7 linked regions of the Callithrix jacchus genome follow. The main gene of each other region encodes a partner of the protein of the gene in region 2 in a complex. Links are inferred from orthologs where the notes say so. Each region holds a gene or a part of one and is shown on either strand. Other genes may lie near its edges.

Region 1 (3,632 bases), on a different chromosome or scaffold from region 2:
CCCTCGATGTGAGGACCCCAGCCCTGCACACTCACATCTTACCCTCGATGTGAGGACCCCAGCCCTGCACACTCACATCTTACCCTCGATGTGAGGACCCCAGCCCTGCACACTCACATCTTATCCTCGATGTGAGGACCCCAGCCCTGCACACTCACATCTTATCCTCGATGTGAGGACCCCAGCCCTGCACACTCACATCTTACCCTCGATGTGAGGACCCCAGCCCTGCACACTCACATCTTACCCTCGATGTGAGGACCCCAGCCCTGCACACTCACATCTTACCCTCGATGTGAGGACCCCAGCCCTGCACACTCACATCTTACCCTCGATGTGAGGACCCCAGCCCTGCACACTCACATCTTACCCTCGATGTGAGGACCCCAGCCCTGCACACTCACATCTTATCCTCGATGTGAGGACCCCAGCCCTGCACACTCACATCTTATCCTCGATGTGAGGACCCCAGCCCTGCACACTCACATCTTATCCTCGATGCAGTACACGGCTGAGGGCAGAGACTTGTTGGGGGCCTTCACTCGGGCCACCTTCTGCACTGTGGTCTCCAGTAGCCCTAGGGATGGAGGGGTTGTGAGACTCCAGGCTGCCCAACCCTGTGAGAGGCGCCGCTCCAGGGCCTCCTGAGAAAGTGAAATGGGCCCTGTGGGGTGCACCTCCCTCTCCTTGCCTCTGGAAAGCCATCAGGCCAATTCTAAAGCAAAGATGCAGAAATGAGCCCCTTGCCACGGGCCACTGGCCAAGGAAATGGCAGAGCTGGGGTCCTAACATCAGGGCTTCTCTGCTACAGCTGTAACAGTTTCAACTCCCCTCTCCTTCCTGGAGCAGATATGGAGCCTCGTAAGGCAGAGACAGATGCCAGGGGGAGAAGGAGCGGCTCTGGGCCGGGCAGCTGGCTCCAGCATAGGGAATGAAAGAGGCAACAGAGGGGACGGAGGCAACCCTGCCTGCACCTGCTGCACCGAAGCCCCCACAAGCCCTTTTCCTGCCCAAGTGCCCAAGTCCACCCAAGCCACAGCTGCCCTGAGTTCCCTACCTTTGTTCTGACACAGGAGCAGGGCAGCTGCCAGCCCCCTATTCACGATCGGCTCCTCGTCCAGGATGGTGGTGGAGGAAGCAGAGAACTGGGGGGCACGTGGCAGGGTTGGTTAGCAAGCCACACCGCCTCTTCTCACCCCCACCCATCAGTCACCCCCTGCCGGGCACCAGCCACAGCGTTTAACTTCATTTCCTCAGGTATACTCAGATCACGCTGGGAGGAATGCAGAGCGCACTGTGATGAGGAGGCTGAGGACACCGAGTAACGTGCCTGGGCACTCATCTCCAGCTCGACCCTCCCGCCCCCATGCCCCCGCCCCCCACCCCGTGGTGACAGTGCGGCCCTCACATCCTGCTGCTGCTTCTCCTCGTCCAGGTTCACCGTACTCCAGCCAATGTTCTCCTCCCCATCAGATTCAGAGCCGCCGTTGGCCGAGCGCTCTTCGTCCTGTTCAAAGTCCTGGGGCACAAAAGACCAGGGTCAGCCCAGCCCCCAGCCCCCAGCCAGCCTACCCAGCCAAGCGAAGCCCAGGGTGGGGCTGCCCCAGACGCACCATGAGCTCCTCCTGCTCCTCGCGGTTGCCGGCCAGCCCGTAGGTGGGGATCTCCCCCAAGGTGCGGCAGAACTCAGATGTGGCGTTGAACACAATGGCCCCCTTTCGCTCAGGATCCTCATCCTCCTCCCAGCCCCGCTGGCGAGACTCCAGCTTCTTCACAATCTCCACCACCTGGGGGAGGGAGTAGCTGTGGGCAAACCCAGCAGTTTCTGGGGTGATGCCATTGAGACCCAGGAACCCAAGGGTCCTCCCTGGCAGCAGCAAGACAGGCCACACCCACAGCCCATGTGGGTCCTGGCTGATCTCTGCCTCCTGACTCCACTCTACACCTATTTCACTGGGGTCACTCTTCTGCTCCCATCAATGGGTTTGGCTGCCCTTTGAATGAACACCCAACACCCTACAGGGCCTTCCTGACCAGGCCTGTGCCAACCCTGCTCCAAAGCCCCTGGCACACTACCTCAGCCTCAAGCACCTTCCTCCAGGGTCCCTCCTGCCACCAGCCCCTCCCACAACAAACTCCAGTTTCAAGACTCTGTAGGCAGCACTTCTAGAACCCACAGGGCGGTGAGGTGGCCCACTCTTTTGACTTCCCACAGCCCAGCTTCTTGCTTCCCACTTCACCAAGAAAGCAGGTGCCATGACATGCTAAGAGAACCCACTCGTGCTACCAGCACTAAATCCAGGACCCCCACATGGGCACCAGCACCCTCTGCTTTCCCTCCTTTTGTAGATGCCCGGCCACACACACACTTGCCCACTAGCTCTCCTCTTTAAAAAACTCCTCCCTCAACCCCGAAGCCCTGACAGCAAACTCCTCAGTGAAGCCTCGATTGCCATGTCCACTTCTGCACCCTCTTTCATTTTAAAAAAATCTCCTGAGGCGAGTGGATTGTCTGAGTTCGGGAGTTTGAGACCAGCCTGGGCAACATGCCCAAATCCCATCTCTACAAAAAAATATAAAAATTAGCTTATAGTCCCAGCTACTTGGGAGGCTGAGGTGGGAGGACTGCTTGAGTCTGGGAGATCGAGACTGCAGTGAGCCAAGATCATAGCACTGCACTCAAAGTGTGGGCAACAGAGTGAAACCCTGTCTCAAAAAAAAAAATTCTTCCAGGGGCCAGCTGCAGTGGCTCACATCTATAATCCTAGCACTTTAGGAAGCCAAGGCTGGAGGATCACTTGAGCCCAGAAGTTCAAGACCAGCCTAGACAGTAAGGTGAAACCCCATCTCTACAAAAACTATAAACATCAACCAGGCATGGTGGTGTATGCCTGCAGTCTCAGCTACTTGGGAGGCTGGAGTGGGAGGATCCCTTAAGCCTGGAGGTCAGGCTGTGGTAGGCCGTGATCTTGCCACTGCACTCCAGCCGGGCAACAGAGCAAGACCCTGTCTCAAAAATACATATATATTCCAGGACATCCTGGAACACTTATTTTTTAATGAACTTCATCGTAAACAGAAAAGGGGGTATATCTAACTCAGCAGATGCTATTAATTTATTTATTTATGTTCTCTTTTTTTTTCTACATGAGATTTTGTTCTGTTGACCCAGATATTTATTTATTTTTTGAGATAGTCTCACTGTCACCCATGCTGGAACACAATGGTGTGATCTTGGCTCACTGCAACCTCTGCCTCCTGGGTTGAAGGGATTCTCCTGCCTCAGCCTCCTGAGTAGCTGGGACTACAGGTGCACGCCACAACGCCCAGCTAGTTTTTGTGTTTTTAGTAGAGACAGGAATTCACCATGTTGCCCAGGCTGGTCTCGAACCCCTGACTTCAAGTGATCCGCCCGCCTCAGCCTGCCAAAGTGCTGGGATTACAGACCTGAGCCACCACACCCAGCTGATATGCTTTTTTTCTTTTTTTTTGAGACGGAGTTTCGCTCTTGTTACCCAGGCTAGAGTGCAATGGCGCGATCTCGGCTCACTGCAACCTCTGCCTCCTGGGTTCAGGCAATTCTCCTGCCTCAGCCTCCTGAGTAGCTGGGATTACAGGCACGCGCCAGCATG
Region 2 (4,228 bases):
GGCAAAGAATTTCACTTTGGGATGATAAAAAAAGTTCTGGAAATGGATAGTGGTGATGGTTGCAGAACAGTGTGAAGATACTTAATGCCACTGAATTACACATTTAAAAATGGTTAGAATGGTAAAATTTTAATGTATGTTTGACCACAATAAAAAGAAAATTACAAAAAACCCTACCAAAACACATGGCTAAATCATTTACAGAAACTGACATACAGTCAGTTCAATTCCTTTGGCAGATCTGTCTTTCCCTTGAAGGAATGAATTTCTTTAATAGCTTGGTGTTGTACCTTTAGCATTCATTAAAAGACTCAAAAATTTCACTTGAAAACTTTCTTTCAGGGCTAAATGATGGTAAAAGTTTTGTTTTCTCCAGCAAAGTAGCGTGTTTCCCTTATGGTATTATTATGAATTGAACGTCTGAGCTCTTCTTACTTTAACTCCTAGGAATAAAATCTGTGGCTGAATTCCGGTTTAAGCCCATGTCTTGTACCTAGTACATCACGGTATCCTCTCTGGCCTTGACTTTATTTTTGAATTTTGCCATATATTTGTCAACTTAATTGTATGTATTCTTATTAGTCAGACTAAACCTTTGAGGAATAAGGTGAAGCAAAATCAATGCCATGTTATAACCTTTACAGCTTACCTGCATGTTCATGTAGCCATCTACAGATACCAGGTAGCCCTTGTACTCCATCCCCCACTTAAGTTTCACCATCACTGGCTTTCCTGTTAGTCCATTGAGGAAAGGTTTGGGATTAAGGGGTAAACTCTGCACAAAGAACAAAAAAGGATCCAATTAATTCTTTTCCTCCCACCACCAAATCCCTTCTACCAAATCACCAATATTTTCTGGTGTGCAAATGAAGAAAACATAATTTTCACTTTTATTTGTTGAAGATGAGTACCAGGGAAATTTAAATATCCAGTTAGCCAGTTTCACCTTTAACCCATCAAAACAAAATACTCACTATTCACTTAAGATAACACTGACTACCTACATCACTCACTGTTCTGAGCTTGAAAGAAGCAAAGATAAAGCCACTAAAAAAAAAAAAATGCTGGCCAGGCACGTGTCTGTAATTCCAGCACTCTGGAAGGCCAAGGCACGGAAATCACCTGAAGCCAGGAGTTCAAGACCAACCCAGGCAACATAGGGAGACCCCCCCCAATTCCTACCAAAAATAATTAGGTGTGATGGTACACACTTGTAGTCCCAGCTACTAGGGAGGATAAGGTGGGGGAACTGCTTGAACCCAGGAGTTCAAGGCTGCAGTGAGCTATGATCAAGCCACTGCACTCCAGCCTGGGCAAGAGCAACACTTTGTCTCTTAAAAATAAATAAACAAGTAACAGTCCCTGTCAAGAAGCTGGAGATAGGGAGGGGAGCTCCTCACATACAAATAATTATATTGCATACTGCAATGTAGTAAGAGGAGATATGCTAGGCACAAGGGTACCACAGCAATCCACAGAAAAGGAAAGGTTGCCTTAAGTAATATCTCAGTTTTAAAGGATAAGAGTTTATTTCCGGGGGGGGGGCAGATGCTGCTCCAGGCAAGGGTAGCAACTTAAGTAAAAGGAGGGAAGAGAACAACATGATTTTGGGGATATACAAAGAATTCAGCATTGTCAGTCAAAGCCCCTAATATAAGACTGCAGAAGGAAGCAGAGGGCAGATCACACTTGACAGTCTTTAACTGTGGAAGGTAGGGCTAGGTCCTATCTGACTTTACAGCAATCACTTAATGTTTGTTTATTCAACAAACCATTAGCATCTCCAGTGAATTCAGACTTTTTTGGGCCCTAATCTGCTCACTCACCAGTCAAAGAAAAAACAGAACTAAGAAACTTGGCTACTAAACTAAGATAAGCATATTGGGAGTGATCTTGGCATGGTGCTACTCCAATAACCTAATGGATCTCCAGTTTACATTCTCCAATTTATTATCCACCACGGCAACTGTTATTTTTCAAAGTGCACATAAAATTATGTCATATGTCTGCTTAAAATGATTCAATGGCTTCTAATTGAATTAGAAGCCACCATTCTTGCAAGTGGCTGTACCTTTCTGTCAATTTCTCCAACTGACCAAGCTTTCTTTCCGGCTGCAGGTCTTACGCTCCTATTCCCTGTGCTCGGTACACTCCTCCTGCTCTTTAAAGGGTGGTATTTCAGGACACTTAGGTCTCTGGTTAAATTCCACCTCCTAGGGAGGCCATCTCTGACTAAGCCTGTAATGTCTAACGTGCACCCTCACAGCCTCCGGTCTACATGCTTCTTAGCACTTGTTATTTGCAATTGCATATTTGTTGGTTTTTGACTAAGGTCTGTCTTCCCCACCCGACTGAGTTAATCTAGAGCATGGCTGTAATATTACTTTCAAGGAATTAAAGTGAATTTTGGAGAGAAGTGAGAAGTGCACTCTCTTTCAGTTTTACGCCGACCCTGAAGCCCCAACCAAAAATACCCCAGGCTCGGATTCAAACAAAGAGGAGACAGCACGGGCACTCCTAGAAACAGAAAGGCAACGGGAGGAGCACGCGCCTCAGAAACCCCAAGGGCAGCGTGAAAGGAGCTGGCGACCGGGTGCGCGGCGCCTCACGCGGATGAATGAGAAACGCGCGAAGCAACCATCAGGCCCCGCGAGACTGGTTTCCCTCCTCTTTCTCCCCGCTTCTCCCCCGGTTCTCTTTCTCCTTACCATCGTAACCACGGGCGAATGCTGCAGGCTATTCGCTGCCAACCAGGCCGCCGCTCGTCCCTCGTGACTCCAGCCGATCCCGAAGTCCCGAACCGCCGAGCTTCAAGAGAAATGGCCGCCAAACAAGAGTATGACCTTTCACCTCCCACCACGGCCCTTCTGGCCTTTGTGATTGGACGCAAAGAGATGCGTGCTGATTGGAGGAGGTGGCGGGGCAGTATCTCCTAGCAACCAGCAGTGGTGTCGATTTGCGCCTTGCCAGAGGAGCTTGAGCCTTGGGAAACCCGCTCTGAGGGTCGCCGCGAGGCAGCCAAGGACTAGAGGCCCGCCAGTGTTTCTAAATGTGCTGCCCCTCTTCTAGGGACGGTCCGGGAGAGGCTGTGTGCCCTTTAGAATGTGCGGATGTGACTTCTCCCCAGCTTGGCTAATGGGGATTTACTCTGTCCTTTTACACCCGTGAGAATAAGTTCGGAGTCCCAGAGTTCCTTTCTCACTCTTCCAACATGTTCCAGAATTCAGGGGAGTCTCTGCCTCAGGTCCTTTCTGCAGGAGGGTTTTCTTTAATGCAACATCCATTTCAACCCCTTTTAAAGGAATCGGGAGTGTGGGGTAGCCAGACTAGATTAGGGACGGCGAATCTCACCGAAGGGAGTAGGGGACAGAATTTCTTTCAAACGATGTCAGGTTGCGTCTAGTATACAGTGTTATGCCCCCCCGCCAACTTCCCACCTTTCTTTTTCTTTTTCAATAACTTTATTGAAACATGTTTTATAATGCATATTCTTAAGACTCTTCTTCCTGAAAGGAATGAAGAATTAGTTTGAGATTTCTATAAGGGATACCTTTATATCAGTTAGTTGCTAAGTTCAGGGTACTCAACAGCTTCCAATTCAGATCTATAAACAACAAAATAGTTTAGTGAAAACATATACACAGGATTTGGAGGTAGCAGAGAACAATTGTTCTAGAGCCAGACAGACCTGGTTTGAACCCTGACACCCTGGATGTAACATGGGGCAAGTTGACGTGACCACACTGTCATTTCTTAGCACCCTTTACTGCTGCTTTATATGTTCTTGAGGTCTTTCATTAGTGCTAGAATAATGATAGAATGATAGTGATGCCTGTAATTATGACAAGTGGAAACTTGCTATTTCCTCCATTAACTAAAATCTGAAAGCCATAATTGATTAAGTTTGCTCACCTTTCTTTTGCATCTCCAGCAGAGACCCGCATGGCCATCTTATGTGCATTTGAAATTACTTAAGGGCGTAAGCAGTATTTCACGGATTAAAACTTTCGATGTTAATGGTCGTATCTGAATTTCACTAGTTTTTCTCGTAATCCTAGTGAGTTCAACTCACCCGGATCCGAAATGCTAAATGCAGTGTTTGGAGAACTCGCCCTTTGGGAAGTGAGGCTTTTTTGCAGCCCTGAAGAGATGGATTTGGAATTGAGTGTGAAATGTTTGGTATTGAGGCATTGTGGAGCAGTGGGTAAGACTTTGGAGAGGGACTGCA
Region 3 (3,632 bases), on a different chromosome or scaffold from region 2:
AAAGAAGGTGAGCGAATACTGAGCACATTTAAGGCGCTCCTTTCAGAAAAGCATGCCAGTCTCCAAAACTCACAGAGAACTGTTGCTGAAGTCCAAGAGACCTTGGCAGAAATGATCCGCCAACACCAGAAGAGTCAACTCTGTAAATCCACAGCAAATGGTCCTGATAAGAGTGAACCGGACCTAGAAGCAGAGCCTCTCTCCAGTTCTCAGAGCCAGTGGTAAGTACTGAGGCAAGTACAAGACAGAATGAAAAATAACCCTGCTGCCTAGGAACAGGGGCTCACGCCTGTAATCCCAGCACTTTGGGAGGCTGAAGCAGGAGGATCACTTGGCCGTGGAGTTCATGGCCAGCCTGGGCAACAAAGCAAGACCCTGTCTCTACAAAAAAAAAAAAAAAAAGGCCAAGTGCAAGTGGATCATGCCTGTAATCGCAGCACTTTGGGAGGCCGAGGTGGGTGTATTACTTGAAGTCAGGAGTTCAAGACCAACCTGGCCAACATGGTGAAACCCTGTCTCTACTAAAAATACAAACATTGGCTGGGTGTGGTGGCACAGGCCTATAATCCCAGCTACTTGGGAGGCTGAGGTCAGAGAATCACTTGAACCTGGGCAGCAGAGGTTGCAGTGAGCCAAGATCATACCAATGCAGCCCAGAGAACAGAGCAAGAAAGCATCTAAAAAAAAAAAAAGCCAGGTGTGGTGGAACATACCCTGTAGTCCCAGCCACTTAGGAGGCTAAGACAGAAGGATCACTTGAGCCCAGGAGGTCAAGTCTACAACAGTGAGCTATGGTTGCATATCTGTACTACATCCTGGGTGACAGAGCAAGTCCCTGTCTCCAAAAAAAATTTAAAAAAGGAAAATAACCCTGTTGGATTCTCATGTATTTAGGTCAGAATTAGTACATGGTGCTACTGATCAAGTCACTTGAAAGCAGCAAAATGTAATAACTAAGACGCAGGCTTTGGGGGTCAGATGTGAATTCTAACCCTTACCCAGTTAAGTGAACTCAGGCAAGTTTCTTAATGTCTCTGAGCTTTAGTTTCCTCATCTACAAATGGGGATACCAGCTCCTACCTTTGGTGGTTTTGAGAATGAAACAAATTATATATATTGTTAGTATTAATAGTACAATAAAATCTTACCATTGTGTGCTAAGTAGATTCCCCCCAAAAAATCAATCATGTAAAATGTGAAGTTGCATTACTGCATCATTATTGAAAAACACTGTTTTTCAGTGGTCCTATACTATAACAAAACACACAAAGGGTAGTATGTAAAACTTCACGTTGAACTGAGAAAAGTCCCAAATAATCGGAATCCTGTCACTTCCTAATCACTTCCATTGGAGGCAGAAGCTGCAGTGAGCCAGGCTCACAGCACTGCACTCCAACCTGGGCGACAGAACAAGACTCTGTCTCAAAAAAAAAAAAAAGAAAAGAAAGTAGAGGCCAGGTGGAAGGATCCAGTCACCAGTCACTATAGAGCTGAATTTGCTTTCTTACCGGGTACTTTGCTGAGGTTTGTAGTGAGTAACAATTTTTGTTTTGTTTTGTGTTGTGTTGTGTTGTTTTGTTTTGTAATGGAGTCTTGCTCTGTCACCCAGGCTGGAGTGCAGTGGCACAATCTCAGCTCACTGCAACCTCTGCTTCCCAGGTTCAAATAACTGCTCTGCCAGGTGGGAGTACAGGCGCTTATTACTTGGCTATTATGCTGAATGCATTTTGATTATATTCCTTAGCACAGGGTGTAGAACATAGTAACTAGTATAATCAATAAACTTATAGCTGTTACTACTAACTTTAAAAAAATTAAACTAAGAAGCTTTGAAGTCCCTCCAAAAGTACTCCCATTGAAATCCATGAGTCAGATTTGAGTCACTTGTATAGTAAGCTACTCTATACCCTAGGCAGCTTTTAGGTGTGCCTTTTTTTTTTTTTTTTTAAGACAGGTCTTACCCTGTCATCCAAGCTGGAGTACAGTGGCATAACCATAGCTCACTGCAGCGTTAAAATTCCTAGGCTCAAGCAATCCTCTCACCTCAACCTCCCAAGTAGCTTGTGCCACCACACCCAGCTAAGTTTATTAAAATTTTTTTCTAGAGATGGGTGTCTTACTATGTTGCCCAAGCTAGTCTTGAACTCTTGGCCTCAAAATGATCCTTCCACCTCAGCCTCCCAAAGTGCTGGGATTACAGGCATGACCCACCATGCCCAGTTGGTTTCTGTATTTAAAGATGAGAGATACAGAGCCAGATGGCAGAGCAAGGCATGGTGGCTCACACCTGTATTCCTAGCTACTTAGGAGGCTGAGGCAGGAGGATCACTTGAGACCAGGAGCTCAAGTTCATCCTAGGCAACATATTGAGACCCTATCTCTAGAAAAATTAATTTTTTAAAATTAGCCGGGTGTGGTGGTATGCATTTGTAGTCCCAGCTACTCAGGAGGCTGAGATGGGAGGATCACTTGAGCCCAGGAGTTCAAGGCTGTAGTGAGATTTGTTCGTGCCACTCACACCAGCCTGTTGACAGTAAGACCCTGTCTCCACACACACACAAAAAATTGCATTTTTAAAAACCCAGGTGACAAGGGAATTTTATTTATAAAATGAGATAAAAGTTACCCAGGCAGGGGCACATGTTCTCAGGACCTCCTGAGGGCTGTGTCACGGGCAAAAGTTTAAATTTAAAAAAATTTTTTAATAAAAGACAAAAGTATAATAAAAGATAACCTAATTAAAGGATGGGCAAAGAACTTGAATAGACATTTCTCTGAAAAGCCAGTAAGCACAGAAAATGATGCTCAACATCTGATCATTAGGGGAATGCAAATCAAAACTACAGTGAAATAGCACTTCATAGCCATTAGGCTATCAAAGAAACAGACAAGTGCTGAGGAGGATGCAGAGAAAGTGGAACCCTGTGCCCTGTTGCTGGGAATGCAAACTGATGCAGCCACTGTGGAAAACCGTCTGGCAACAGTTCCTCAAAAAATTTAAGATAGAATTACCACAGGATCCAGCACTTCCACATCTGGGTATACACCCAAAAGAATTGAAAGCAGGGTCTGAAATACATTGTGAAATATGTGCATGCCAATGTTCATAGCAGCATTACTCATAATACCCAAAATATGGCAGCAACCTAAGTATCCACTGACAGATGAACAGCTAAGCAAAATGTGGCAGATGGAATGTCATTCAGCCTTACAAAGGAAGGACATTATGCTGAGTGAAATACGCCAGTCACAAAAAGACATACACTGTATGATTCCACTTATATGAGGTACTCAAAATCCGGTGGCTCACGCCTGTATTCCCAGCATTTTGGGAGGCCAAGGCAGGCAGATCACAAGGTCAGGAGTTCGAGACCAGCCTGACCAATATGGTGAAACCCCATCTCTACTGAAAATACAAAAATTAGGTGGGCATGGTGGCAGGCACCCATAATCCCAGCTACTCAGGAGGCTGAGGCAGGAGAATCACTTGAACCCAGTAGGCAGAGGTTACAGTGAGCTGAGATTGTGCCACTGTACACTAGCCTGGGCGACAGAGCAACACTCCATCTCAAAAATATATATATATATATTTAAAATCGTAGAGACAGAAAGTATAATGAAGTTGACAGAGG
Region 4 (4,395 bases), on a different chromosome or scaffold from region 2:
CCAGCACTTTGGGAGGCCAAGGCAGGTGGATCATTTGAGGTCAGGAGTTCAAGACCAGCCTGGACAACATGGTGAAACTCCGTCCCTACAAATATACAAAAAAAAATAATTAGGCACGATGGCGGGTGCCTGTAATCCCAGCTAATGGGGAAGCTGAGGCAGGAAAATTGCTTGAACCCAGGAGGCAGAGATTGCAGTGAGCCAAGATCACTCCATTGCACTCAAGCCTGGGCAACAAAGCAAGACTCCATCTCAAAAAAAAAAAAAAGAGAACCTTGCTTCATTTCAAAATCCTGACAGCCCCAAAGACACATACCACAGGCAAATCTCCATCATCTTCCTCTTCCTCCTTTTCTGGTTTAGTTGTGGAGATAGCTGTCCAGCTCACATCATCATCCACAATCCGCATTCTAAATGAGAAGAAGAAGATGATCAAAGTCATTGTAGGATATCAGCCTAAAACCACTCGTCTACTGGTTTTAAAATAAAGTTCAAAATCCTACAGGATCCTGCATGGTCCAGTCTTTGTCTACATGGGTGAATTTCATCTCGTACCACTATTTCCTTGGTTGAACACCTCCCTGGGTCATCCTTTGGTGCCTAGAAAGGAGCCAAGTTCCTACCACATCAGTTTTCACATATGCAGTTCCTTCCCTCTGCCTGATCTACTCTTCTCAATCTTTTTCTTTCTTGAGACAGGGTCTCACACTGTTGCCCAGGCTGGAGCGCAGGGGCATGATCACAGCTCACTGCAGCCTTGACTTCCCGGGCTCAAGTTATTCTCCCCACTCAGTCTTCCAAGTACCTGGGACTACAGGCACGTGCCACCATGCCTGACTACTTCTTTGTATTTTTTGTAGAAACAGGGTTTCACCATGTTGCCCAGACTGGTCTCAAACTCCCAGATGCAAGCAATCTACCCGTCTTGGCCTCCCAAAGTGGTAGGAAACTCTTTCTCATAATTCAGTTCCTAACGCAAATTTAACTTCCTTTGGCAAACCTTTCTTGACTCCTTCCTCCCCCTAACCTCCCCAGCCCACACTAACTCAAGACTAAGAACCCTCGTTAAAAACTCTTGGAATACTTTCATTGTGTTTATCCTAAAGGAAATATATTAATTACTTGTGTTATTACTTAATGCCTGTATTCCCATTTAACTATAAGCCTACAAGAACAGGGCCTATATCTTATTTGTTCAGAGGCATCCTCAACACCCTACAGTAACTGGAAGAGGAAGTATGCTATAAATGTTTGGTACAGGGATAAACTATAGTTAAGCCCAAATAATAGCAACGACTGCCATGACGTGAAGTCATTCAAAAAGCCAAGGTCACTGAATGCAATCCCGCTAATCACAACCACCACCACCTAATATAAGCATTACTATTCAGTATTATTCTCATTTTAAAGATAAGGAAACTGCAGCTCAGTGAGATGAAACACCTTGCCCAAGGGCACACAGCCTACAAAGTGGCACCGCTAGGATTTGAACTCTCATCAGTGCTGCTCCAAGGCTCAAGCTACTTTCATCACACGGCACTGCCCCTAAAGGATCCACACGAGCCAGCGACGCAGAAAGACAGAAGACAGAAGAAAATGGGCTAGTTCTTTGGAACAATGTGACTTCGCTGGGTATCTTAGTGCCTTAGGGTTGCTTAACAAAGTACCACAAATTGGGTGGCATAAAACAACAGAAACTCTCACAGTTCTGGAAGCTAGCAGTCTGAAATCCAGGGGTCTGCAAGGCCAATCTCCCTGGAAAGTCTCTAGGGGAGAATCTCTCCTGTTCCAGCTTCTGGTAGCCCCAGGTATATCTTGGCTTTTGGCAGCATAAATCCAATTCAATCTCAGCTTTCATCTAGACATGCTCGTTTTTTTCTTTGTTGCTGTGTCTGTGTCCACACTTCCCTCTTCTTAAAAGGAAAACAGTCATCTTGGATTGGGCACCCACCTTAATCAAGTATGGCCTCATCTTATTGATGACATCTCCAAAGGCCCTAATTTTAAATGTCACATTCTGTGGTTCTGGGTGGAAACGATTTGGTAGGTCCCACTACAGAGGGCCACAATGTTTTCCCATTTGAAAGTAATACCCACTTCATGGTACTGTCGTGAGGCTTAAATAAACTCATATATGTTTAAATTTCTTATAATGTTGCCTGGCAAGGAAAGCATAATGAGAAGAACGACACAAATGTCAGCTGCTCTTGTTAGCAGGACTATTACTAAGAGTAACAGGAGGTGATCGAAGGTCTCTGATTCAGAACCAAGTCCTTGGGATTTGGGAACCCCCACAGGCAGGTGCCGGGCCCTAAAGATCCAAGCACAGGCTTTGAATCCGCTCCATTATTCTCGGGGCACAATACTCATTCCCTACGGGAGAGAGGACGAAAGTCTACCAAGGCGGGAAAAGAGTCATCAAAGTTACAGCCCGGCTTTAATGCACTGACGCTAATGATCAGAGGCTCGAGGTGTAAGCGGGGCGGCAGAGGCAAGGCGGGGGCCTCACGCGGTGCGAGTGGGGCCCTGGGTCTGAGCAGGGGCCGGCGCAGCAGCCAAGAGACCCGCCAGGAGGGAAGGCAAGGCCCGGCGGCCGAGGGTGGAGTTGGGAAGGGTGAGAGGGGGGCGAGTCGTCGCAGGCCCCGCCCCGGCCGGTACCAACTCACCCCTTGCCGCCGGCCCCACCAGGCTTCGGCCGCTTTTTGCGGCGCTTGCGGCCGGACTCAGGCCCCCGGTCGACGCCGGCATCTGCCCCGGACAAATAACGCTTCAGATACTCGGCCTTGGAAAGCGGCGGAGCTGCCGCCATGGCAGCGGCGGGGGCGGAGAGACGGCTCGGCGCTGGGGACAAAATGCCTCAACGCGTAGCGCGCGCCAGCCACCTGAGGAAGTGGGGCCAAGGCCGGAAGTGGCGGAGCGTGCTGAGAATGACGCGGCTGGCAGGTGCAGCCGCCGGGGGCGCGCTCGCAGACTAGCCGGAGATGTGCACAGCTTCGGGCGCCCTGGGACGACGCCACCAGGCATCTTCTCTTCATCCACCCACCCACCCATCCATCCATCCAACCGCCACAGGCGCTGTTCTGGCCAGGAGGCCACAACCTGACCCAACAAGACCCCGCCCCCAGCGTCTGCCTAAGCTCCACAGCAAGGGCAAGAAAGTGGAGAGCCACGGGCTGCAGCGTAGCGGAACTTGAATACTGGTTCCATACATAGCCAGCTAGCTGTGCGACCTCGGGCGAGTTATCGCAAAACGGGGAGAATCCCGGCACCTAACTCGGAATGGTCACAGGCTGAGATGACACTACTGTGTGCAGTGCGCAGAGCGTTTGGGCACATGGTCATCGGAACTATGTTCGTTATTTTTTTCCCCTTTTTTTGTGGAGAACGGGGTCTCGATATGTCGCCCAGGCAGGTCTCGCTATTTTTATACGTATCTTCAAGTGGGAAGAATCTGCTCCACTAGGCTTCCAGATACCTGCTGTTCGAGAAAGGAAGCCAGGAAGTGCAAACCAACACAATTACTATGAAAAACGTGGTTTCTAAGACCTCTGTAAACTTGTTAACTTGTAATACAACCGACCCCCCCAGTTATCTCTTGAAAAATATATTTACTTCAAGAGATAACGGGGAGGGGAACTTGTAATACAACATTAGAAAATACATAGCATTGATAAAATATTGCCAGTGAAAAGGACCTGAATATATTTTCAGCATAGCAAAAGAAAGAAACCAGAGAGAATGAATTCTAACACTCCAGTTTTGGGAGGAAAGAAAAGACTTTCTTCTTTGCAGGAGGTTAAGAGCAAATTAAATTAACTTATTTAATCCTCACAATTCTCAAATTGTTTCATTGCCATATTTTACAAATAGGGACTGAAAGTTGGCAGGATTAAGGAAGCTGTTCAACTTCACATGGCCAGAACATGACTCGGGAGTAGAGGCTAGCAAAGTGGGGTGCAAGAGGCCATCCAAATTTCTTGAAATATAACATCTTTTTACCTCATCATGTTAGATTTTTGTCACTTTTTTATCGTTTTTCCCCAGCCTTATGAGGTTATTTGTCAAATAAAAATTCTATGTATTCAAAGTGTACGGTGTGATGATTGGGTATACGTACACATTGTGTAATGATTACCAAAATCGAATTAATTAAAACATCCTTTACTAGACTTACTTATGTACTACTTGGGGGGGGCACTTAAGCAAATCTGCCTTAGCAAATTTCAAATAAACAATAGGAATGATTAGTACAGTCAGCATGTTGTACATTAGATCCCAGGAACTTGCCTTTAAACTGGATATTTGTACCATTTGAGAGAGAAGTTTTAGTGTTACTGAAATCACAGCCTTCTGACAGAATTTGTGGATACTATGCACAACAGAAGTGCAGACAAT
Region 5 (4,290 bases), on a different chromosome or scaffold from region 2:
TTTGCTAAAACTAGTATGCTCTGTGGCTTAATTGTTCTACCATCTTCCCATGTTCGGATAAACAGAAAAGCAGGGAAATTCAACAAGGAAGCCTTCAAAGTTATCAGTGGGATCAGATGTATTACCAATAGCCACTACTTTCTTGAACTAGCTCCAGGTACCATGAACAAATGATGACCAAGTCAGGGATATGACAGGTAGTACAAAATTCCATCTAAATACAGGTGGACAATAAATTGAAAATATTATTCAAGTTAAGGCATGGGCATATGAAATATAAAATGTGTCACTGTGTTGTCTTTTGGGTGGTCTCAGGTACAAGCCACTGTAGGTCGCTCAACAATGTACGAGCACTGGGAAGGAAAGCTAACTTCTTTTTTTTTTCTTGAGACAAAGTCTCATTTTGTCCTCTAAGCTACAGGGCAGTGGAGTGATGTCAGCTCACTGCAACCTCTGCCTCCAGGGTTCGAGTGATTCTTGTGCCTCAGCCTGCCTAGTAACTGGGGCTACAAGCTAATACTTTTTGTATTTTTAGTGGAGATGGGGTTTCACCATGTTGACCAGGCTGGTCTCTAACTTCTGACCTCAAGTGATCCACCCTCCTCAGCCTCCCAAAGTGCTGGGAATACAGGTGTGAGTCATCGCGCCCCACCAGGAGTGTTAACTTCTAAAAATTCAGCAGCTGGGAAAGCTAACAGAGCTAAGAAAGCTGGCTTACAAAAAACAATTAAGTAGTCTAGGAAGTGTCAGAACTTCAAAAAGTGAGTGAAGATAACCTATCCAAAGCATAATAATAAATACTAGCTGGCCACGGATCAAATACTTTGGAGCAAGGAGGGCATCAAACCTGATTCTGAGGGCAGGGGAAGGACTAACCATAGTATGTCCCTAAAGGATGGGCTAAATCACAAGTTCTCAAACTAACTGGCATGAGAATCACTGAAATGCTTTGGAAAAACAAACAAACAAAAATAAAATCGTTGGGCCTCCATTTCCACGTTTCTGATTCAACAGAACTGGGGTGAAGCCCAGTAATTTGCATTGCTAACAAGCTTCAAGGAGATGATGCTGCTGATTCAGAACACATTTTTGGAAGCACGAGACCAGGATATTAGATCAAAGTTCTTGGCCTTTAACTTATAACCAAGACAGTCTCAGAGCCGCAGTCAACTGAGTTGGGAAAGACTCCATAAAAGTGACATGGACACTTAAAACTGGAAGGACATTTAAGGTGGAAAGGCAACATTCAGAACCAGAGAACAAGAATAGAGGCACAGAGAGAACTCATCAACTATATCATCGTAGTAATTTACAATAATATAAAGCGAACACAGTGTATCCGGCACTGTGCTGAGTGCCTCATCAGCATTAGTTTTCTTTAAACTCCAAAAAAGACAATCCAATGAGGCAGATGAGGTAATAACACAATACCTGCCTCATTGGATTGTTTTCAGATGATGAAGCTGACACTAAAGACCTTAGATAACTTGCTTCATGTGACAGACCTAATAATTGCTGAATAAAATTGAAATATTTGGTCTATCAGGCCCAACACAAGTGAGTTTCCTCCTCCTACTGATACTGCCTGTTACAATGCTTATCCTGGTCAAAACCACACTTTGAATGCAAATTTTCAATCTGCCCTTCCATAGTAGGATAATTTATGTTAACTTGAATTTCCAAGCAATCCTAAATACAGGTAAGAGTTAGGTTAACTGATCTGCTGAGGACAAAGTTTGCTTGTTTATCTATTTGGAGTCTCTGCACACTTAAAAATGCAAAAAAAACGCTTAGCGAATTCTTGCATCTAAAATAGCCTTTCTCCAAATCCTGCCTTCTCCACTTACCTCAAAAGAATTGTGAAGATTAAGTAGAAACAGGTACCGCGGTTTCTGCAGTTAAACTCAGTGAAATTAACTATTATATTTCCATTACATAATGCTGCACTGTAGGACCCAAGGCTCGTTAGAGAGGTGGAGCCTGGAAAGCCAAGTTTGGCAGTTACTACCTCACTAGAGCTGGATAAAGTATGACAGATAGATGAAGAGAACACAGGAGAAATGAAGCGTCTTCGAGACTAAACGCTAGAACTTATCAGTATTTACAGGACAAATAAATGAAGAAGAAACCACTAATGAAATTTCACACAAATAGTCAAAAGGATTTAAGGCCGGAAAAGACATAAGAGTGCAAGCACTTCAACTTTTAATCAACTACAGCTCATTAATCCCACTCCCTTGGCGCGGGGATCTGGGCACTAGTAAAGGGGCTTTCCCAAGCCCAACTGACTCCAGAGGCTCTAAGTACAAAACACACTGTACACGAAACAACAGCACCAGGATTGGTGCAGGACTTCAGATAGCTCCAAGAACCTCACAAGGAAGGTCGGCCGGTCTGCGCAGGCAGTGAGTGAGTTAACACAGCCCATTCCCTCACCACCGGCTCGGACTCCTCGGCCCCAGCCGCTCTCACACCCCCCTCGCGGGCCAGTGCCCGGCGGAAAGAGAGCCACGCGCACTCCAATGATGCTCACAGCTGTACCAGTGAGCCCGCACCCACTCCTGGGCCTCTTTCACTTCCCACCCGATCCAGCGACCCGCCACCCCCTCTCCGGTTCGCTGCCTGCGGGGACTCCACCGACTTCAGATAATTACCTAGAGCTCCACCGCGCCGCCATTACACCGGACGTACGTCACTTCCTTTTCCCGACCACCGACAGTAGGAAGAATGCGGATAGTGAAATACATAAAAACTTGAGGCTCAATCGGCTTGACACGTTATCCTTTTAATTTATTTCAAATAGCATATCATAATACCAGAGTCAAAGTGGTCGACCCAGGCACACTGTCTTCTTATCAAAATGGCGACAAAAAAGAGAAGTTGACATGACCTACAAAGTCCGAAATCCAGCGCCTAAGTTGACGGAAATGACGAAAGCGGAATTGTAGTTTAGCATGGAATGGCGCGGTGTAAGATGGGAATTGTAGTTCATACAGTTGGGCGCCTACGAGTAACATCCAAGGTGCTCACTGGCAGCCTAATAGTGTTTAGAGTCTAGCCGAATTTACTTTAATCTAAAACTATTTCTCTGCATTTAGGGGACATTTTTTTTAAAGCAGTCAGTTGTCACTTTTCCGTGAAAATATTAAGAGATTTTCCTGAGACTTTATAATAGAGTTTGACCAAGAGCCTAATAAGCAAAAATGTTACCAAATATTAAGTGCCTAATAAATTCCAAGACGTCCAGACCAAGAGAATGGGAGAATATTACATCATACATAGAGTAAATAATGAGGAAAAACTAATTCTGTAGAGAAGACGTTGCCTCTCTTTTAGGTTAAGGTACCAACTGGTATGAGCTGAGAGTAAGGAGACTGCCTGGCTGAGTGGGAAGCAGTTTGTACAGAGTGCAGAACTTGGGCATTGAACAAACTGTTTCTTTAAACTTCACTTTTCGCTAGTAACAAAACCTAAAACTTCAACTACTTGCTCTTTTGGAAACTCTCTTCCTCAAACAAGAATATCTTTATATTTTCAAACCTTTCATAAACCAGGCCTGGTTTTTCCACACACTTCTCTATTACAATTTTAGAGTGCTGTGCTTCCGCTCCTTTCTGGAGGCAGAGTGTGATGATTAAGAATAAAAACACTGCAGTTGGACCACATATGTTTGAGTCATGAGTTCTTTGATTATTTATGGATCACTGGGGCAAATAACTTCACATTCTGTGCCCATTACCTGATTTGTTAAATGGAAATACTAATATTACCCACCCATTAAGTAGTTTTTAGAATTGAATTAGTTGATTCACATAATGCATTTAAGATAATTGCTGGTATACAATAGTGTTAACTGTTTTATTTCATATTTAAGATATTTGGCCATTGTTCATGGCGCATTTTGGTGTACCAATACAGAGCACAGGAGACGGATCTGGAGATGAACATTTGTATTCATATATTTAAAAATCCACAATACTACCTGTGATGGTTAATTCTGAATTTCAACTTGATTGGATTGAAGGATGTAAAATATTGATCCTGGGTGTGTCTGTGAGTGTGTTGCCAGAGAAGATTAACATTTGAGTCAGTGGACTGGGAAAGACAGACCCAGCCTTAATCTAGTGGGCACAATCTAATCAGCTGCCAACAAATATAAAGCAGGCAGTAAAACATGAAAAGGTGAGACTAGGCGAGACTGGCCTAGCCTCCCAGTATACATCTTTCTCCCATGCTGGATGCTTCCTACCCTCAAACATTGGACTTCAGTTGTGAGATTCAGACTGGCTC
Region 6 (4,424 bases), on a different chromosome or scaffold from region 2:
TGAGGAATCCAGAATGACTTCCAAGCTCTCTAGAGTGGGAACTGGGAGGACCCCGGGTGGCGTCACATACAGGGAAGGAGGAGAATCGGAACAGGTTTGAGAAGAGACAAGCTTGATTTTGGCTATCAAGGCACAGATGTTCTCCAGCAGTGGAAATGCCCCATGCAAGTTGAAGAGAAAAGCCAGCTGGGAAATGTGATTCTGGATTTTGGCTATCGAGGAGATGTCCTTCAGCAGTTGCAATGCCGGGTGGAAGTTCAGGGGGTAAGTCAGCTGGGAAATGTGACTCTGAGAGGCATGTGCCCAGAAGGGGATCACCGGAACCAAGAGAGAATGAGATCCCTCAGGAAAAGTAAAAAGAACAAGCTGGGCTGCTGAGGGCAAACCCTTCAGCAAAGGATGGGCCAGAGGAGGATGTGGGGAGAGAGGTTCAGAAATAGCACGAGGACAGTACAAACGACAGAGCTATTGAGCATGTACCACAGGACATGACAGCTGAGTTTCTCATGACAGATGAAGGGGGAAGAGTGATAATCACACAGCCACAGGGTAATGAGGACAGCCACAATCATGCAGCCACAGAGTAACAGCACAGCAGCAATCACACAGCCACAGGGTAATGGGCACAGCTGCAATCACACATTCACAGGGTAATGGGCACAGCCACAGAGTGACGGCACAACAGCAATCACAGCCACAGGGTAATGGGCATAGCAGCCATCACACAGACACAGGGTAACGGCACAGCAGCCATCACACAGCCATAGCGTAATGAGCACTGAAGCAATCACATGGCCACAGGTAATGGGCACAGAAGCAATCAGACAAGCCCTGCCTTCGCCCTTCATAACCTTGCCTTGGGAGCAGGCTTCAAACATTGTTCTACCTTTCAGGGAAACAGTCCACCCCACAGCTCCTTCCAAAGACAAGCTACTCATGGCCCAGGCTCTGTGGGAGAAACCAGGGAGTAGATACAGAAAATACTTCATTAAATTAAGTCCTTCCTGCAGAGAAGGAATAACTGACAGACTTACATCTTGGGATGTTTAATCAAACATAGGTTTGATTCCTAGATCAGCCATTTAAAAGTAATGTGATTCTGGCCAGGGGTGCAGTGGCTAGCACTTCTAATCCCAGCTACTTGGGGGGCTGAGGCAGGTGGATCCCTGAGGTCAGGAGTTCAAAACTAGCTAAGGTAACATAGTGAGACCCCCCCAGACCCCTAAAAAAAGGGGGGTGGGTAAGGGATGTGATCATGGTCAGATTGCTTCTCCAAGCCTTCCTTCTGCAGCTTTGGGGATAATACAGACTTCTTGTTACGACTCTGAGGATTATATGATGCATACCAGTCAAGCCCCTGGTAGTGGGTTAGTACTGCTATCTCCTGACCCCATCTCCTGGAGACGCTGTGATGGATAAATGTGATACAGCTACACTAAGAATCAGGTTACAGAGCCTGATCAGGGCTCAGTCAATGTTGGTTTCCCCAAACCTTCTCATCATTGGCAGGATCAAAACCCTGTCACTGTTCTTTGCCTGCCCCAGCTCAGAAACATCAAAGGACATAGGTTTTTATCAGGTATGTTTCCTTTGGCCCAGGAAGTAAAACGAGGGTACAAGCATTGCTCACTTTTCCTCACTTCTGAGTCCTCTCCTTTTCCCAGGATCGGGACAATGCTCACCATTCCTCACTCCCTAGTCTTCTCCCTTTCCCAGGATAGACACTGCTCACTATTCCCCACTCCTGAGTCCTCTCCCTTTTCTAGGACCAAGAGATGCTTCTTCCTCAGTCTCTCATGCCCCTGAGAGCTCAGTCTCCATTTTACAGGCCAGACATCAGCAGAGATAACACGGATTCCAGGAGACTAAGGACTGTCTTGCCCTTGCCACCATGTGTGGGAGCAGCCACAGGCCCAGCGCTCAGCACTCCCATGTAACCCATTTGCGGAGAAAATCCACCTCAGCTCACAGTGGCTGAGGCCGAGGCTGCAGAGGGATCTCGCTAGGGTTACCGTCAGGAGGCTCGCCCAAACCCCAAAATGCGGCCCCCCCTAGCGCTGCAAATTTAATTTTACTGCGTTATCAGCTTCTTTGGGCCAATGTCTGGCCATCCACGCGCGCCTTCCAAACGCAGGCAGTCCGCCGCATTTGCAGCAGTAGCGCCAGGGCAGTGACGGCTGGAAAACCCGCCGGCGCTCGGTCAGGAACGGCGCCCAGCGCGCGCCAGAGCCAAGAGCTAGGGCTACCGGGTGGTTCCGCGCTCACCGCGCCAGCCCCGCGCCGGGTCACATGCGAGACCTCACGCATCACGACCACCTTGACAACGCCGTTCCCGCTCAAGGCCCGAACACGAAGCTGCAGAAACGCTTTTCTCAGGGTGCCCGGACGCCATTCCGCTCCCGAGAGCTGGTGCCGAAGCGCCGCGGCCCCAGCTCTCCGGACGCCCGCCCACCTGCTCCGTGTTCCGGGCCTGGCCCCGACCACTCCGGTTCCGAGGCGCGCAGCCGCCCCGGCAACTCTGCGCGGGACCTGGACGCCCGCGGCCTCCGTGGAGAGTCGCGCAGCCCTCGGGGGCAGACGCACCGTCCCCCTCCCGCTCCGCCGAGACGAAGCCGGACGACAGGAGACACGCGCCTTTCAGGAGCGCGGCAGTCCGGGCGCTGAAGGAGCCGCGCTTCCATAGCACGTGCGCCGGCCCAGAGGGTTCCACCCTCACTCCGCGGCGCGACTCCCGAGGCCGGGCCCGGGTCCCCAGCCAAAGCCACCCGGAACCCCAGACCCGCCCCGACGCGGAGGACGTTCCGCCTGGGCCCATCAGTGCGCGCAGCGGGAGGAGACGCGCCAGGGAGCACCGCCCTGCTGACGCGTGGAGGGACGCAGCCCGGGCAGGGAGCGCGGCACCCACCTAGGTCCATGGTAGCGACGCGGGCGGTTGCGCGGGGTTGGCTCTCCCTCTCAGAGAACGCGGGCGCGGCGACGAACGCACGGCACAATGGGCGGCGCAGGCGCCACGGCGGCCGTGCTCAGTCCCCGCCCATAGCCCCCCGCGCAAGCGCAGTCCTCACGGAGGAGCGCGCAGAGCCACAGCACCGCCTCCTCGCAGAGGCCTCCCGTCCGTCAGGTATCGGGCGTTGCTCCCGGGCCTGCCTCCGGGTCCCAGTGCGTCCGGCTTGAGCCCCGGCTCCGCATTCACCCTCATCCGGTGACCCCGGGCGCGTCCCGCACACTGTCCGCCCCCACCCAGCGCGGCCTCCCCACGCGCGGCTTCCTCCCGCCCAGCTCGTCCTACGCTCGCACTCTGTGCGCGCCGCTGCCGCGCCGCCCCCTTGGGACGGCCGCGTTTGGGACCGGAGGCGCTTCTCACGTCTGCTCCTCCACAGAAACATCGTGGACAGACCCAGACACTGGCTCCCGGGCCTGCAGTCGCGGAGAAGAAAATACAGACTCTGCGTGTTCTTCCACGCGCCGCCCGTCCCCTGCCCCCGAGTTGGAGGTCTGACGCCGGCCTTTTTACCTCCCCACCTCCGGCCTCCAGCACCCGGATCGCCCGGAAAGGCCCGGCCGCCTCCCGCCCCATGTGCCAAGTGGAGTTCGAGCTGGCGCGCACCGCCCTCAAGCAGCTGAAGGGCCCCCTGAGCGACCAGGACAAGCTGCTGCTCTACGGCTGGTACAAGCAGGCCACCCGGGGCGACTGCCACCTCCCCGCGCCTCCCGCCTCTGACCTGAAAGCCAAGGCCAAGTGGGAGGCGTGGACTGCGAACCAAGGGCTGTCCAGGATGGACGCCATGAGGGCCTACGTGGCCAAAGTGGAGGAGCTGACCAGGAAGGAGGCTGGCTGAGGGCTCCTCGGAATGGAGTGGCTCCCTAGACCTTGATGGCTGAAATGGAGAGTAACCGGGTTAGCTGAAACACCAATAAATCACTGACACTGCACGAGAGTGACTGACTGCTGTGGAAAAAGAAACTCGTTGACTGGGTGCTGGGGAGGCGTCCAAATACACAGACCGCAAAAACGGTGTGGCTTTGGGTGGCGTTCCCAGCCTTCCTATTGCTAGAGCGTACTGGGAGGGATGGTGTGCCGTGGAAATGCCCACGATCTGAGGTCAGCGAGACCCTTCTCCACTGATGGCCTCTGGGGAGGCTGAGGCCCAGCCCCTTACCTCTTCAAGAGTGATTAATGAACACCCAACACTACAGAGGGGAAAGGGACTCTGTCCTAAACACCGAAACCCCCACTGGAACACAGGGCCTAGGAAGTTTATGTTCTAGGTAGACCACACTTTCCCCGATGATAATGTGGTGAGGCAACTGAGACTTCAGAAAACAGCAGCTGAGAAACAACAGAGCCGATGGTGTCAAAATCCCAGGCCCAGAAAGGGTCACCGAAGGCCTTGCAACCGAAGTGTTGCAGGACTACTCTGTAC
Region 7 (3,632 bases), on a different chromosome or scaffold from region 2:
GGCAATTGTACCAGCAGCCTCATCACTTTACCCCAGGGCATCATATAAATATCTTCCTGTTCTACATGGTCCACAAAATGAAAAAGACTAGGAAACACTACTACCTCAAAGCACAAGCATCAGGGAAGACTGTGAGATTTAGATGCACAATTAACTACCCTTGATCTGTAACATAAGTTTACAGTGAAACATGCCCTAGGAAGGTCTGGCAACTAGAAGGAATTCTTGATATCTAGCTTAATGCTACAACTGCTTTCCCGACACAGTCATTAGGAGGCAAAGCCAGACCAACAGTTTGGCGAGAGGAAGGAATAGAGAAAAGGAAACTTTCTTTTTTCTTAAGCCCTCACACCTTGCTCTAGCCACACCACACTGGAACAGTAGGCTCACACTGATTATTGCGCTATGAATCACAACTCTACAGGTGAACAACAATAAAAAATTAACCCCTCTGATCAGGTTCAGTGGCACTTTGGGAGGCCGAGGAGGGTGGATCACTTGAGGTCAGGAGTTCAAGACCAGCCTGCCCAAATTGGTGAAGCCCTGTCTCTACTAAAAACACAAAAAATTAGCTGGGCATGGTGGTGCGTGCCTGTAATCTCAGCTACTCCAGAGGCTGAGGCAGGAGAATTGCCTGAACCCAGGAGGCGGAGGTTGTGGTGAGCCGAGATCGCGCCATTGCACTCCAGCCTGGGTAACAAGAGAGAAACTTCGTCTCAAAAAAAAAAAAAAAAAAGAAAAAGAAAGGTAAAAAACAGAGGCCTGGAGGGGAGGCAGGCCTGGTACCTATGCTCCTGGGGAGACAATTTGTTAACAGATGGGAAAAAGAAGCAAGTCCTGCAGGGCCACAAGTCAACAGAATTATTTCCTGGAATCTCTTTTTGACCAGTGTCTCCACACCTCTGCAGCCCCTGCAACACACCAAGCTGACGAGTGCTGCCCCGGTGTCCATGGCAACCAGGTAGAAAACGAAACCCCTATACAAGGGGAAAAAATGTCCAACCAACCTGCTTAGTAAGTACACTCACCTTGATCCCATTAAAATTGTCAACGGCCAGAATTGTGCTCCTCTGGTCTTCATAGCAGAGAAAACAAAATCCTTTGGACTTCCCAGTCTTCTTGTCCCGCACGAGATTAATGTTAACAATCTCCCCATATCTATTTATTTTATAAAAGAGTAAGACACTATTGACTTAAAAGGCAAAAACATGCAGATAAGGTAATAAAACAAAATTCAAATAATACAGTATGTACAAGAGATACATCTAGAACGAGATGATACAGAAAGGTCATGACAAAGAAAAAGTCAGACAAGAACAGGAGTACCCAATTAAAAAACAGGCACTAATATCAAGAGCAAAGGCTAATTCAAGGCCACAATAAAAAATGAAACTAAGAAGATTATTTTACACTGAAAAAGGCCTAAATACAAAACAAAGGTATAAGTCAGGAAAACTTTAGGTCAATTAAGAAATCAAAATTTTTAATTAAAAAAGCTATCAGAAATGCAAAGAAAAACTAATAGCAAAAGTTATGGAAGAATTTAACAAATCACTTTGAAGTTTATCATGCACAAAGTGGACAGAAATAAGATCAGATTAATTAATATACATAATTACTATAACAATTATACAAACAAATATTAATGTAATTAGATACATAGATATCTTTGAATCCTACAAGATGACAGTTTCAAGAATTCATGAAGATTGTACTAAAATAGACTATGGATTAGGTCTCAATGTAAACCTCAATAATTATACTCCAAAAAACAGACAGACCTAAAGCTGGAAATGATATTTTAAATAAAAAACACCTTACCTAACTAGAACTTGAAAGCTACTCTCTTAATAACTGGATGAAAGAGAAGATGAAGCAAAATATTTTTTTTAAAATGGCAGACTATTTAGAAAATAGCAAAAATGAGAAGAATATATACCAAAACTTATGAAATGTACCTAACATCATAGGAAAATTTGTAACTTTAAAATAATTTTATTGTGAACAAAAAGGATGAATATAAAGGAAGAAAGCAACCCTAATGAAAGCAGATGGGAGCTAATAAAGATAAAGGCAGAAATTTGGCTAGGCATGGTGGCTCATGCCTGTAATCCCAGAACTTTGGGAGACCAAGATGGGAGGATTGTTTGAGGCCAGCAATTTGAGACCAGCCTGAGCAACAGAACAAGACCCTGTCTCTAAAAAAAAAAAAAAACCAAATAGATAAAAAGGCAGAATTAAATAGAAAAAAAAAAGGCCAGGCATGGTGGCTCACACCTATAATATGTAATACCAGCACTTTGGGAGGCAGGAGTATTGTTTGAGGCCAGTAGTTCAAGACAGACTGGGCAACAGAACAAGATCCTATTTCCAAAAAAAACAAGCAAACAAAAAAAGATCAGGCATAGTGGCTCACACATGTAATACCAGCACTTAGGGAGGCCAAGGCCAGAGGATCACTTGATGCCAGGAGTTTGAGACAAGCTGGACAATACAGCAAGACCCCTGTTTCTACAAAATAATAAGTTTTTTAATTAGCCAGGCATGGTAGTGTTCACTTGTAGTCCCAGCCACTCAGGAGGGTGAATGGGGAGAATCACTTGAGCCCAGGAGTTCAAGGCTGCAGTGAGCTAGGATCATGCCACTACACTGTGACCTGAGCGAGAGAGTGGGACTCTGTCTCAAAAAAGAAAAAACATTAGGAATAAAAGACTACCTTACTCCTTGCAGCAAGATAAATTCCAGATAAGTTAGAGGTTTATAAATTTAAAAATAAAGTCATAAAAATAAAACGGGAATTGACAGGTATGTTACATAATCACATACATACACTTCAGCCCAAAATCTAGCAATCTACTTAATGAGAAATACTAGAGCTGATTCAAGTAAGTTTAGAAACTATTTAATACTAAAATGAAGGTATAGGCCAATGCAATTAGGTAAAACAGATATAAGAAATGAAAAAAAGGAAGTAAAATTATCCTTTTGTAGATTACATATGATAGTATACATGGAAAACCCAGAGAATCCATGATAAACAATGATTAAAAACAGAGCGTAACAATTCAGTAAAGCAACAAGATATAAAGTTAAAAATCAATCACTCTGTTATACAGAAACAATAATCAGAAGAAATGATAAAAGGGAAATCGTATTTATCATAGCAAAAAAAGACAAAGTACTTAGAAATATACTTATCAACAAAAAATGTACAAAGCCCATATAAAGAAAACTATTTTAAAATTCCCAAAAGTCACAAACATAGATTTGAACAAATATGAAGGTATCCCTTGTTCTTGGACAGGATGACTCACTATCATAAGGTATCAAAATCTTCTCCCGAGTTAATGTAAATTTAATATAATTCCAATAACAATACCAGTTTGGTTTCTTTCCTGAAAGCTGAATAAGTTAATTCTAAAATTCTTATGGAAAAAAGAACATGTAAAAATAGCTGGGAAAACTCTTAATGAGAACAATGAGGGGGAGTAACTCTTATCAGATATCAGACAGACTGAAATTACTAGTGTGGTATTGGAAAATTAATAGACCAATAGAATAAAAGCTAAGAAAGAGACTCAAGTATACATGAAAACAAATAGTATATGATAAGGGTGACATACCAATTTGCT

The links.
Region 1: SNRPF (region 2) and SART1 share a complex: the UniProt entries of both Homo sapiens proteins name them as parts of the U4/U6-U5 tri-snRNP complex. The link is inferred for Callithrix jacchus from reciprocal best matches to the Homo sapiens genes SNRPF and SART1.
Region 3: SNRPF (region 2) and GEMIN5 share a complex: the UniProt entries of both Homo sapiens proteins name them as parts of the SMN-Sm complex. The link is inferred for Callithrix jacchus from reciprocal best matches to the Homo sapiens genes SNRPF and GEMIN5.
Region 4: SNRPF (region 2) and BUD13 share a complex: the UniProt entries of both Homo sapiens proteins name them as parts of the minor spliceosome. The link is inferred for Callithrix jacchus from reciprocal best matches to the Homo sapiens genes SNRPF and BUD13.
Region 5: SNRPF (region 2) and CWC22 share a complex: the UniProt entries of both Homo sapiens proteins name them as parts of the minor spliceosome. The link is inferred for Callithrix jacchus from reciprocal best matches to the Homo sapiens genes SNRPF and CWC22.
Region 6: SNRPF (region 2) and GEMIN4 share a complex: the UniProt entries of both Homo sapiens proteins name them as parts of the SMN-Sm complex. The link is inferred for Callithrix jacchus from reciprocal best matches to the Homo sapiens genes SNRPF and GEMIN4.
Region 7: SNRPF (region 2) and RBMX2 share a complex: the UniProt entries of both Homo sapiens proteins name them as parts of the minor spliceosome. The link is inferred for Callithrix jacchus from reciprocal best matches to the Homo sapiens genes SNRPF and RBMX2.

The regions. Positions count from the first base shown.
Region 1 is NC_133511.1:123,052,678-123,056,309, reverse strand, and holds part of SART1 (U4/U6.U5 tri-snRNP-associated protein 1), read right to left. Parts: intron 1,788-3,632; coding exon 1,614-1,787; intron 1,520-1,613; coding exon 1,409-1,519; intron 1,146-1,408; coding exon 1,058-1,145; intron 578-1,057; coding exon 487-577; intron 1-486. UniProt on the Homo sapiens protein: Plays a role in mRNA splicing as a component of the U4/U6-U5 tri-snRNP, one of the building blocks of the spliceosome. May also bind to DNA.
Region 2 is NC_133510.1:98,939,029-98,943,256, reverse strand, and holds the start of SNRPF (small nuclear ribonucleoprotein F), read right to left. Parts: upstream 2,841-4,228; 5' UTR 2,712-2,840; coding exon 2,709-2,711; intron 776-2,708; coding exon 650-775; intron 1-649. UniProt on the Homo sapiens protein: Plays a role in pre-mRNA splicing as a core component of the spliceosomal U1, U2, U4 and U5 small nuclear ribonucleoproteins (snRNPs), the building blocks of the spliceosome.
Region 3 is NC_133503.1:54,099,049-54,102,680, reverse strand, and holds part of GEMIN5 (gem-associated protein 5), read left to right. Parts: coding exon 1-221; intron 222-3,632. UniProt on the Homo sapiens protein: The SMN complex catalyzes the assembly of small nuclear ribonucleoproteins (snRNPs), the building blocks of the spliceosome, and thereby plays an important role in the splicing of cellular pre-mRNAs.
Region 4 is NC_133511.1:16,412,397-16,416,791, forward strand, and holds the start of BUD13 (BUD13 homolog), read right to left. Parts: upstream 2,833-4,395; 5' UTR 2,810-2,832; coding exon 2,667-2,809; intron 411-2,666; coding exon 317-410; intron 86-316; exon of another isoform or gene 1-85. UniProt on the Homo sapiens protein: Involved in pre-mRNA splicing as component of the activated spliceosome. As a component of the minor spliceosome, involved in the splicing of U12-type introns in pre-mRNAs.
Region 5 is NC_133507.1:49,008,426-49,012,715, reverse strand, and holds the start of CWC22 (pre-mRNA-splicing factor CWC22 homolog), read right to left. Parts: upstream 2,866-4,290; 5' UTR 2,655-2,865; exon of another isoform or gene 1,848-2,654; intron 1-1,847. UniProt on the Homo sapiens protein: Required for pre-mRNA splicing as component of the spliceosome. As a component of the minor spliceosome, involved in the splicing of U12-type introns in pre-mRNAs. Promotes exon-junction complex (EJC) assembly.
Region 6 is NC_133506.1:63,630,019-63,634,442, reverse strand, and holds the start of GEMIN4 (gem-associated protein 4), read right to left. Parts: upstream 2,916-4,424; coding exon 2,453-2,915; exon of another isoform or gene 990-2,452; coding exon of another isoform or gene 857-989; exon of another isoform or gene 1-856. Other genes in the region: uncharacterized protein LOC118153659, read left to right, coding at 2,914-3,121, 3,381-3,499; diazepam-binding inhibitor-like 5, read left to right, coding at 3,576-3,839. UniProt on the Homo sapiens protein: The SMN complex catalyzes the assembly of small nuclear ribonucleoproteins (snRNPs), the building blocks of the spliceosome, and thereby plays an important role in the splicing of cellular pre-mRNAs.
Region 7 is NC_133524.1:126,051,214-126,054,845, reverse strand, and holds part of RBMX2 (RNA-binding motif protein, X-linked 2), read right to left. Parts: intron 1,159-3,632; coding exon 1,029-1,158; intron 1-1,028. UniProt on the Homo sapiens protein: Involved in pre-mRNA splicing as component of the activated spliceosome. As a component of the minor spliceosome, involved in the splicing of U12-type introns in pre-mRNAs.